Linked DNA regions of Bombyx mori. The protein of the gene in region 1 binds, or shares a complex with, the protein of each later gene. Links are inferred from orthologs where the notes say so. Each region holds a gene or a part of one and is shown on either strand. Other genes may lie near its edges.

Region 1 (4,247 bases):
AAGTTACGAAAATATGAGTTTTATTTTGATTTTTTTTTCGAGAGATTTTTGGGATTCCTTGCTACTTAATTTATGTACATAGGTGAACCATCAAAACATTACTCTTCTCGATCAAAATTACCTTTATGGTTTATTCACAAATTGAAGATTTTCGTATTCTAATTTTGGAGTTTTGCAATGTATTAAATTTTTATGGTTCATCACTATGCAAATACGAGTTTTTTTTTTCATATCTCTGACTCATCAATTTCAAAGAAATTACTGTTAGTATTCCTCTTTGATATTGCGAAGATGGCTGCCATCATAATACAAAATTCCCTTTGAAAATAGCAGTTGTAGATTGCAGAGGTTTATTTTAGTTTTTGTAACCGGCTTACAAGCATACGACCAGCCTGATGGTGAGTGGTTTCCGTCGCTCATGGACAGCAGCAAGCCCACAGCCAAGTTGCTGCCTACCTCAGAGTAACACCTTCAAGCCACGTTTGAAGAATGACATATCATAGTGCTCAGGAAGTACTGTGGAGTAGATTTAATTCCAGAGCCGGATGGTATGTGGCAAAAAGATATCTGGAAACGCACTGACGATGAACGCATGGTTCCACATAGTATGGATGAACAGTGTGCAGATAAGGTTTTCATGCATTTAATAAATATATATCGATATATGTACACATTAGGAAGTGGCTAGTTATGAAAATACCACTAAAGCTATATTTATACATTGAGTTTCCAAAATACAATCAAAACCACAAAGTTTTACAATTAAGGAGTAAAAACCAAGACACTTATTTTGCTCTCTATTTGGAGAAAAATGTGCATTCTCGAGTACTATGTAGGATACTTTTGATTAGTTAATGATACATACCCGCCTGTACAACAACAATAGCCCTATGAATATTCTCTTCTTGCATTCTTGTACAATATGTCTTTATAGTTTTTATACCAATTTTAGCTTCATCAGGAAAGAAAACAAACATCTGATCCGTTGGATCATCATTATGAGCCACTAACACAATCAAATCACTTCTTGCTGGTCTTTTCTCACTAAAAAAATTAAAATGCTGTATTAATTTCTAGATTTCTTTATAAATCAACTCAAAGTTGATGATTTTCATATTAATTTCATCATTAACCCACAGATTTCTATTGTTGGCCATGAGTTGAATGATCTGGTAACATAAATTTCCAATTATTCACACAGTAACTACATAATCATTTACTATAGAGGTAGTATTTACATTATTCTCTTTGACAACAATCATTTTTATAAGTCAAAGTGACATTTCATTGTGAAATATTTCGATGCTAAATTACACACTTTCAAGAATTTTGAAAGGACAGCTGAAGAAATGGAAATGTTAGATAATAAATTTAAAAACAGTCTAGTACATCGCTCTCTATCTCAGACAGCTCAGTTATATTTTGGTAAGTCAATTTAGTACACAATAATTTTGGTAGAAAACACTCATTATATTGTGATTCCTTAAAAGTTTGCCGACTTGTGCTGACTTTTCAAATTATGAACATTTTATTAAAAGGCTGTTAATGTTCCAAAAAAGTTTTTGAGCAATGAAACTGATGAAAGAAACTGAAAGTAAATTTAAAGATGTTAATAGTGAGAACCTATTAAATTTGGAGATTCCAATAAGCTTCTAAGAAAGATAACAAGTGTTAAGACAAAAACGTTGAATTGCTCTGTAGCTGGATCTGAAACTTAGCAGTACTACAATACCCCTGAACCAAAATGATGGGTCAGTAGTGTTTACAAATCCATATTTGTGTTTTGATTTCATACAAGAGACCTCACTTGCAGCTACTCAGTACTTCAAACTGGATTCAAATTATTCTGACTTGAAATTAAACAACTTGTACAATACATATGTAGGGACAAATTAACAAATTATTAAAAGTTAATTTAATGTTTGGACCATTGAGGCTGATTTGTTAAATATAAAAATATAAAAATTCAAGCTACCTACAATTAGCTTTAAACTGAATAACCCTAACATTATACATATGGATTGACAATGGAAAGATCTAAACATATTTTATTTTTGACAATATAAAACGGTACAGTGCTATCCCACCATAAAAAAACATGTAGCAGATTCAATTATAGTGGACAACTTTAAAATTACAACAAAATATAACAGTGAAAAGAAAATAGAAACGGGGTCTGCAAACTCCACTGATCTTGCTGATTAGTATTAACCGTTGCCAGATCTTCAATCCAGACGCATAAATGTGTCACTGCATGATAGTTTATTTAATACTGTATACGCAAATTATAAAATTAATAAATTTTTTGATGGATGCATTGCTCGTAGCCCGAAGTCCGAATGCCTTTCTGGCTACACTAGAGCGTATCAGATTAATAAGGTTATAAGAACAATAGTATACCTTGGTTTATCGCCAAACTGCTCTTTAAATTGTTCTAAAGTTTGGTCCAATTCATCTTGCGTGACTAAATATCCTCGGTCATGGCACAACTGTAAATATTATGCCTCGGTTACTGTTAGAATCCAACCAACAAGATGAATAGCATCAAATATAACCTCACCTGCATTACAGTTTTACGTATACGCCAGAGTTTGTAAGTTTCTGCGTCATCATCCATGTTTTATAATCTACTTAAAACTGATAAATCCCTTTCCTACAAACGATAATTTCATTGATTCTCTTGTTATAGCTAGGTATTATTACCTGTAAATCCTGTAATCATAAGTGTATAATCTATGCCTGTAATGTTTTTAAAGAATATTGTTTCTTTTGACAGAATACAGATACGCAAAGGAATCACAGTCCATACAATAGATTTTTTTATAGCAAAAGCCATTCATGTCTATCTTTTGAAAAATAATTGATCTTGGAATGAAAATTAATAACTTAAAATATTATTAATTGATGAGATATATACAGCACCGTAGTTGTTAGATGAGATGAAATTAATGAACCTCTCATTAACTGTTCGGAATTTACTGACAATTTAATAAATGAAAGAATCCGAGAAACTGAATTCGGCCACTTTATTCTGTTTTCAGCCCCCTTTTTCTAAAAACTATACGGTTAATATCCATTTTAAATCTTTAAGCTTTGTTGTTTTATCCATATTCAAAGGCAGTATTCTTGGAATTATTCATTTTTAATATATTGTCATCATATTTACATAAAATGAATCATGGTCTGCAATATCCCTTCCTATGGCAGACGCCATCGGAAAAAATGTGCCATGGTGGCAGCCTCCCGCTCCGGTCATGATAAAATAAACGCTTAGCTGGCAGGCGACCGGAACGGTCAGTAATTTGATGCCGCTGTTTTCATTCGAAAAGCGCACTTTAAAACACGTTCTGCAGTGTTCTAACGCATACAACTGCTAGAACGTTAAACAAAGACAAAATATAGACGCTTTCTTAAGTAAACTTACATATGTTTTTAAGAAAAAAAACCTCATTGTTCCGGACTTGCTAACGCGGAGTAGTTGGAAGTGTTTGTGCGTCTATTTTCAAGTGTTTTTAAGTGGTTGACGACAGTATAACGAGATAAAGTTTTGAAAAAGCGATGGAAAGGTATGTAATAAGCATATTTCTTTGTTTTTGTACGTGTTTTGACACGCTTTTCGTGGTAAAACATTGATATCTAACACCTACTCAGGCTTAGCACACGCTCATGTCGGCCAAACAAACCATTCATTTAGCACCAAATATTGGTAGATTTGTGTAATTTATGGAAACAATGAAATAATTACTTAACTATTAACCTTTTCCAAATTGTAAATTTATTCAAATCTTTCATTAATTAGAGAAATATCGAATAAAATAACACGCGTCCCTCCACTGACCGGACCGGGACGATGACAGTTAGGTTATTTCGGGCAACGCGGCCATTTTGTTCGCTCGCTATCATAATATGGATAAGACTATTGGATCTACTTTTATATGGTGTTTGGTTTGCTTTGACAAATAATTTGGAAAACTTTTTTTTTATTTCTTTCTTTTTTTATTCTTTTGCACTTGCGCTTTATTTAAAACTAATTTGAATGTCTTTTTCCTGCACCCAGTTAACTGCATGTGGCTTATGTTGCGCTTTTGATTGGATTTTCATAGTGAGAGAAGTTTGCGGGTGAGGGGAGGCAGTGCAAGAGCAACAGGCGTGCGCACTCGCGGAGGTCGTTCGAGTGTTGCCACACGTGGTGGTTCACGAAAAGGAAGGGTACGAGGTAGAGGAAGGGGGTGCCCGCGGTCTTCTGT
Region 2 (3,966 bases), on another chromosome or scaffold:
GATCATTGTGGACAAGTGCACTCTGTTTTGAAATTTACCATACTTTTTTAAAGCAGCCTAACTGATTTTTTTTACATTAGAAACATGATGACTCTCCTTCTGTAAAAATAGCTTTCATATGAGTTTGTGTGTAGTTATTTTTCCTTTTAAGTCTTAATATTAAGAGTGCAATTTAATTCGTTATTAAAATAAAACCCCCTAAACGTTATCTATAATATTATTATATTAGAAATAATTACATTTTAAAGTATCATGCCCTTGCAGTCCTTGCCCATTGTTGAGATGTAGAAATTTAAAAAAAAACCAAATTAATTGTTTGCTTCTAATAAGGACTATTTGTTTGATATTTAAATTATCTTTGATCTTACATACTCTGTAATAAATATTTTTTTCATTTTTAAAGAGGAAATTTAACTCATTTTTATTAAATTTAAAAGTTGTTTATTTATGCATTATATTTTTTGTTTAAACAAATGAAATTAAGGACATTTTCAATATTATAAAAAAAACATGGGTCATGTGTCACATTTATTGTAATTTTAATAGTGGCATTTAAATTAAAGAGCATCAACTTAAGAGATAACAAAATTATTCACAAACTTCTTTTGTATTGTACATTATTAATACCCAATAAGTCAAGATATGTATCTCGATATTAGAAGCACAAAGTCAAATAAATATCTTTCATTTAGATTTTTTTTTGTGTTTTTTTTTGTAATTATATTAGTAAGTAGTAGTCTCAGTAGTGTACAAAAAACACACTAATGGGAAGTGAGACTGAAGGAGCTTGGTAGAGTTTTTTACTATTGGTAATACTAGTGTCTTAGAAAACTTCAAATCTACCTACTAAAGATTGTTTTTTTTTTTTCATAATTTGTTTAACAATCTTATCGTAATCTTGTTACACAGATATCTGCCATACAGACATCAAATTACATGTCGAAATAACGAAATAATAATTATGAGACCTTAAGCCCTAATTCCGAGATATAACAAATAATTTTCTATAAAATACACACTGTCTATAATCACCATTCCGCATCACCATTAGCCTTTTGGAATACATAATCCTTTCCAGCTAGATTCATGATTCCATCTTTGAGATAGAACTTCCACCTATTGCGACTGCGTGTAATTTTATCATATTGGCAAACAACTACATTATCAGTATCAAACATGTCCCCTGGCTCCTCATCAGATACATCATCACCGGAATTTAGGGGTTCTTCTTCAGCACCACCACTTTCATTTTGTTCTTCTTCTTCTTCTTCTGCCCGCTCTTCGGGAGAATCGTCATCATCATCATCATCTGCTGCACCGTCTTCTGAACCATCACCTACGTTTGAGCCATCATCATCAGAAGAGTCCAAAGCACCATCTAAAGAGAAAGGAGCAGTTCCACTGCGGCCGCCTCCGCCGCTATCAAAATCACTTTTTTGTCCTGCTAAAGCCGAGTTGATATGTTGTTGCAGTAAAGTAGCAGCTAGAGGTTGTGGAAGGCTAATGGTAGCATTTATTATAGGACCTGTTAAGACCTGATGCAGTTTGTTGCCGTTCAGAGCTGATGCTGGAATTTGAATGGTAAATGAACGAGGCTGGGACCCTGGAACTCCAGGTTGAGCAGGTAATGTAAGCTGAACTGGCACTTTATTATTAGGGTCTAGAATATGATGAGTATGCGTTCCAGCTACACTAGATGCTGGTGCACTATGTTCTTGTTGCCCCGAAGTATGTCCCATGTCAGTTCTTTTATGCACTACATTACTACCATTTACTTTTTGGAAATTCTGTAACACTGGAGGAGGTGGCAGCATCGGCTCAGGTTGTAACGGGTCCGTGGCTCCACTGGCTTGAAGCTTTGTCTTCCATAGTTGTTTTAGTTCTTGTAACACTTGTTCGTCTACACCGTCATCTAAGAAAGAATTTCTCACTCCGGATATCACGTCGTCTACCACTATGTTGTAAAGTTTCAATACTGCGAGCTGACTCGTTGTCATTTTGCAATCGAGCTGTAGTTGAAAATTGTTTAACAGTGTAAAATGTTCACAGAACTAGATATTCTTGTTTCTAAATCTGTTTAGTTTAGTTTAGAGCCGATTATTTGTCTTCTGAGTTCACATCGCAACATTTCAATGTCAAATTTCTGGAATTCACACAGTTTGTTAATTCACTAATGTTGATGACCAATTTTATATATTTAAGATAATATGTGGCTAAAGTAGCTTATTTTAACTTTTATGACGTCCATTTACATAAAGAGAGACAAATTTATAAATTCACCATAAAAATTTTGACAATTGATCACTCAAACATAACCTACAAACCGAGGAAATATTTCGTAGCCTTTAAAGAAATAATTGTCTATGGTTCGTTGATTCCGACATTGAACGACGACAAAGATGGCGCATGCGTTATGAGTACGAGAAATAGCACCGCCCCGCACCGCGCCCCGGTTGATTACGTATTGGTGAGTTTGCGCCTTGGGTAGTTGCCTTTAAATTGATTTTACGGTTTGAAAGGAAAGAGCCACCACTTTAAAATTTCAAAACAAAATTGGCATATCTAAAATTTATTGTTATAACATTGAATGATGAAATTTAAAAATATAGAATTTTCACAAAAAACGGTATTCATTCAAAAAAATTCGTTACAAGCCAATTTTAATGAAATTCATTTCTACTTAAACCATTGTTAAATAATATTGACTAAATAATATTTATATTTTATTTATATTAAACTATTGCACTGTTGAGTACAAGCAACGCAACACTCAATTTTATCTTGTACTATGAAAACTTAAAGACTTCATTCTTAATAAAACCGCATAATAGGACGTTTATGAAACAAGAGTAACTATAAACTTAATTGTTATTTTAGATAGATTTTTCAGTTTTTCAGTGGTTGTAAAAAATGTTGATTAAAATTGGTGGCATAGACAATAATTGAATTTTAGTATTTTTGTGGCGGGAAATCCAAATGTTGGAAAGAACTTTTCGTCTTTGTCGAAGCTTTTCATTTTTTTTGTAACGAATGACGTTGAAGTTTTTATATTTAAAATAGGGGCTTAAACTTATATAGTTGAAAAGGTAGTGTATAATAATATGCTTTCGTTATTAATTTGACATCAATCATCATCAATTCATTTGACTCAATACATTTCTTTCTGTGACAGATTTTTAAAGCACGACAATTGGTAAGAAGGTATTCTAATGGAACATTCTTATATATTCTGACTTCAATATAATATTAAAAATTTATAAATATCAAAATATGAGGGTTACAGTACTCATTTACCTCAATTTTCTTTTAGTAAATATTGTAACGAACAAAATCGATACCAATGCCGAATGAAACACGGTTTTTTCAGTTTATCAAATCAAACTTCTCTTGATAACACAATACAGCACATTTACCGTAAATTAATTAAAGGTAAATTAAAAGCACAGCTAGTTATTTCGGGGAAATAACGTCATCTGTCAGTGATTGGTGTGTATCTGTATAGTCCGCGGTCGACGCGGTCTAGTGGGGACCGTGTTGGTTTGTTCGTCGGCTAGCTATTTGCAGCAGATCGATACGTTCCAGAATATCATTACTCGCTCACCTGAAGTCTAAATTAACGTAGGATCAAACTAAAATTTGTTTACTATTCACTATGTGTTCGCTATTAATGTAGAATTTTGGTTTTATGGCAGTTCAAAAACCATCTCTTGTCGAAATTTGCAACATTTCGAAAGTTTCTGTTTTTAATGATTTAATATACATTATTATTTTTTTAAATATTTAATAAGTAAAATTTTCCAACTATGTACAAGTTAGCAAAATTATTTGGGTCAATGATAATAGAAATTTATGTTAACTACAATTAAAATTACAATGCTAACTAAGAATACCGTTATACCTAATTTACATTGCTATTAATAACTGTGTTATATCAATCAAGGATAAGTACTAGAATTTTTAAGTGTC
Region 3 (4,076 bases), on another chromosome or scaffold:
ATTACATAATTCACTAGGACCTCTTGGGAGTCCACACGGGTAGGTACCACCACCCCGCCTATTTCCGCCGTGAAGCAGTAATGCGTTTCGGTTCGAAGGGTGGGGTAGGCGTTGTAACTATACTGAGACCTTAGAACTTATATCTCGAGGTGGGTGGCGCATTTACGTTGTAGATGTCTATGGGCTCCAGTAACCACTTAACATCAGGTGGGCTGTGAGCTCGTCCATTCATCAAAGCAATAAAAAAAAATGCAATTAGATGTGTTTTTTTTTATGAACATCTAATTTTAAATTCAAAGTCACTACTATTCTCAGTTTCAAAGTATGAACAGTATTATCAAAATTAGAATATAATATATACAGTGAAACAGTTTCTTTTGGCCTTTATTTTTTTTATTAAGACAATGATTAAATTTTTTGCTTAATAATGTGTTAATAATTTTATGTTTAGACAAATATAAAATCATCAGAATAGTATTTATTACCTTTTGAAGATCCTTAATATTGTAATACTGATGTTTCTCAAATGCTGCAAACAGCATATTGAGCACTGCTTCTTTATCATCACGAGCCTTTTTCCCTTCAGCCTTCTTCCTTTCTTGGTAGTCAATCTAAATATTTTACGAAATTTTAATATACAAAATTAAAAAAAGCATGATTAACATAATGAAATGAAATAAACTTAATAGAATACAAAAAGTAAAACAACTTAAGAAATTTTAAAACCTGTTGTTATTCATTGTGTCACTTGTGAAAAGTTTTCTGGTTGGTTTAAGAGCTCATAGAAAGTAAAAATATACAGAGCCATTTGTTTTTATTTACTGATGTTTATAATTTAATTTACTATATAGATGAGTGAAGAACCCCGTGGTCCACCCAGTGTAAAGTGGTTACCTCACTAGTCATCATAACATGAATAGCACCAAAAACCTTGAGAAGTCGAAATCTCAATTCTATTGTATGAGGTTTTCCTTCAAACCAATGTGCTTAGTGTGAACTTTTTAACTTCTCGATCAGAGTTGGAACAGCACCCCAAGAAGCAAACGCAGGGGCGCTATTCCAACTTCATACAAATTTGAGTTATTTTTTAAATATAAATAAATATAAATATAAATATTTACTAACAATCACGCCACGTTAACTGGTCCCGTGCTAAGTTCGTAAAGAACTTGTGTTACAAGTACCAGATAACGGAAATAAATATAATATTTTATTATACACATACATATATTTAATGTACACCCATAACCCTGGAAAGACATTTACATTTATCATACAAATATCTTACCTTGGCGGGATTCGAACCCGCGACCTCCTTGTGTAGTGACCATGTCACTTACCACTACACCAGACGGCCGTTTGATCAAGAAGTTAAAAACTCACACTAAGCACACAATGATTTGCTGTAAACATAAGCAGGAGCAATATCTACACACACCCTACTATCTGTACCAATACCACACATATATGAATGCCCACCCATCTTCAGATAAAAGGTGGAAGTACCTATTGTATTTTATACCAGCTCAAGATGCAAATTTTACAGTCTTGGCCATCCCAAGCTACTAAACATTCCCTATTTACCGTTCCACCATTCCAATTATATCAATCACTACTTATGTCCCATTAATTCCTAACCTATGGAGGACTGTTATCAGATAAGTAGCTATCAATAACTACACAATTTATAATTTTTTATATTGATCAATCATGTTTTTATTTTCGAGTTTGTCTAAATGATAACTTTGCTATACAATGGGAGCAGACATTGCTGCAACCTGTATTTTAATACTTCTAGTAGAATTTATATGAAGCATTTCATTCAACAACATATCCAAAGAGTATTGAACTGCATCTGGAGATCTCAGAGCTCTACACATGCTCTATTTAAAACTTTTTAATCATCTCTAGTTTGACTTCCAATGCAGTCAGGGGCATGTTTTAATGATCAGTTGCTGAAAAATACAGTAAATCAATCCTTTAGATTTCAACAGTAAACATACATTATGTGGATGGTCAGATACTGGTTTGAAGTTCTGAACAATCCTGTCAAGCTGTTGCACTTGTCGCTGAGGCATGGATGCTTTCTTTATTGATTCAGATTTAAGCTTATAGTATGTCACATCATCATTTGGTCTGCATTCCAATTTCTGTACAATCCTACCCTCCATGTAAAGGTTTTCTGTCTCTGGTACTACAGAGTCCGTATTTGTCGCTAAAATGGTTATATTATGAATAAACACGATTAATATAATATCGAACTTTAGACATGAAATTAATTTTATCATTGAGTTCACCAGGACATGTTAGGAGGCGTTAAATATAGATAATTATGAGACTACTTACGGGCAATATGCGAAAATACACCTAGAGATTGAGTATTAACGTTTGAAACATCAAGCTTATGTTCTTTTGGTATGCTTTGTTCACCAGGGTCCTTTAAACATAGCACTGCTTCTGACAAGGATAACTGCACTTTAGCTCTCGTTCCTGGTACTCTGGAGATCTTTAGTTTTCCTACCTCAATGTTTCCAGGAGCTTTTTCCCATTTGTTTGCTATATATTTAGGTACTTTTACCAACCATACTCCTCTACCAGTATTTGATAAGTCCAATTCGGTCATTGTTGTGGAATATAAAATCTATTAGCAGTCGATAGCGGACACTATTTTAACGGCCTTTAAAAGTACTAAAGTCGTAAAGATTTCCTTTAACTATAACTAAATCTTAGAAAATTTACTTGCACTTCCACAAAAGACCTACATAAGTGACAGCTCTCGAAAATATTAAGTGTATAATCTATGGTGACAGCTTAACCACAGATTAATATAATAAATACCGTAAAATGGGGCGATTAGGGATTGAGAGGCGAATCGGGAAAAAACCGGGAAAATCTTGCGACGCACAATATTAGTTTTATATTCGTTGCAAAATCTTCCATTTTTTGTAGTTTAATAGTAGAATGTTGAAAGTTCACAAAAAAACTCTGAATATGCATGATAATAGCTGCTAACTTATAAAAAATCGCGTTTCAAATTAACTTCCTGTGTTGGAAATTATTTTAGTGCTAGAAACTTTGCTCTCTTTTATTTATTTGATAATAATAGAAGACGACTGTGATTTATAAACGTTATTTAGTGTTTGAACCATCATATATATTAAAGGTAAGTCTCAGTTGTTATTGGTTTTAATGTATTTGATAAAATAAAAATACATGTAAAAATCTGTTGTTTTGGGGGATATTAGGGACGTCTTAGGTACAAATAACAACGAAAAAGGGGTCAATTGGGATGAGAATACGTGAAATGGAAACCACCTAAGTATAAATAGGTACAGGTTTGTAGGGTTGTCTATGTAGTTATAACAATATTTTTTAAATTTGTTGGTAAAAATCTGGTTTATTCATGATGTCTTTGTCTAGAACTTTTATTTAAAATTATCAATGTGTTATTTTATTGTTTGGTAAATATATTATCAGTTACGTATTGTTTTCTATTTTTAGATATGCCTCGCGTTTACGTATCAAAGAGTGCAAAGCCTTATAAGAGATATGATCCCTTAATATTAAAAACAGCAATAGAAGCCTATGAAATTGGGAATAAGTCTTTACTTGAAATAGCCAAGCAATTTAATATAAGTAAGTCGATTTTGCACAGACATGTAACAAGAACAATGAAATCTCGAGGTGGACAAAAATGTCTAAGTAATACATTATAAAATATTTAATATTTGTTCAGAGTGGGGGTATTCATCTGATTAATCCATGGAATAACCGACATAACTAATCTCTTAACCCAGATAAAAATATCAGCCCCTAAGTACTTACCAAGACCGAAGAAATATAAACCGTTTATAAGAAAGCTCACTCGTTCGAATTTAGGTGCTTACTCTCCCATATACAGAATCCTTTGGGACTACAATAATGTCCACGGTAGCGTGGTCTCCGTCAATGTTCATTCGGAGTTGTCCGATTGCGCTGAACTAATTTTAAGTGATAAAATAGATGTTTTTTTTAATTGTCTCACAACTTACAGGACAAATCTGTCGTGGATCATTTCCCAAGTAAATATAAATTAA

The links. Proteins that work in one complex are often made in the same cells at the same time.
Region 2: DNA-directed RNA polymerases I, II, and III subunit RPABC1 (region 1) and transcription initiation factor IIA subunit 1 share a complex: the UniProt entries of both Homo sapiens proteins name them as parts of the TBP-based Pol II pre-initiation complex. The link is inferred for Bombyx mori from reciprocal best matches to the Homo sapiens genes POLR2E and GTF2A1.
Region 3: DNA-directed RNA polymerases I, II, and III subunit RPABC1 (region 1) and general transcription factor IIF subunit 2 share a complex: the UniProt entries of both Homo sapiens proteins name them as parts of the TBP-based Pol II pre-initiation complex. The link is inferred for Bombyx mori from reciprocal best matches to the Homo sapiens genes POLR2E and GTF2F2.

Annotation. Positions count from the first base shown.
Region 1 is NC_085125.1:6,611,203-6,615,449, reverse strand, and holds the start of DNA-directed RNA polymerases I, II, and III subunit RPABC1, read right to left. Parts: upstream 2,813-4,247; 5' UTR 2,618-2,812; coding exon 2,561-2,617; intron 2,490-2,560; coding exon 2,401-2,489; intron 1,428-2,400; coding exon of another isoform or gene 1,350-1,427; exon of another isoform or gene 1,300-1,349; intron 1,045-1,299; coding exon 866-1,044; intron 1-865. Other genes in the region: piggyBac transposable element-derived protein 4-like, read left to right, coding at 3,559-3,566, 4,104-4,247; leptin receptor gene-related protein, read left to right, coding at 1,350-1,427. UniProt on the Homo sapiens protein: DNA-dependent RNA polymerase catalyzes the transcription of DNA into RNA using the four ribonucleoside triphosphates as substrates.
Region 2 is NC_085117.1:13,410,904-13,414,869, reverse strand, and holds transcription initiation factor IIA subunit 1, read right to left. Parts: upstream 2,520-3,966; 5' UTR 1,998-2,519; coding exon 1,029-1,997; 3' UTR 516-1,028; downstream 1-515. UniProt on the Homo sapiens protein: TFIIA is a component of the transcription machinery of RNA polymerase II and plays an important role in transcriptional activation. TFIIA in a complex with TBP mediates transcriptional activity.
Region 3 is NC_085110.1:12,712,201-12,716,276, forward strand, and holds the start of general transcription factor IIF subunit 2, read right to left. Parts: upstream 2,816-4,076; 5' UTR 2,624-2,815; coding exon 2,347-2,623; intron 2,216-2,346; coding exon 2,004-2,215; intron 612-2,003; coding exon 486-611; intron 1-485. UniProt on the Homo sapiens protein: TFIIF is a general transcription initiation factor that binds to RNA polymerase II and helps to recruit it to the initiation complex in collaboration with TFIIB.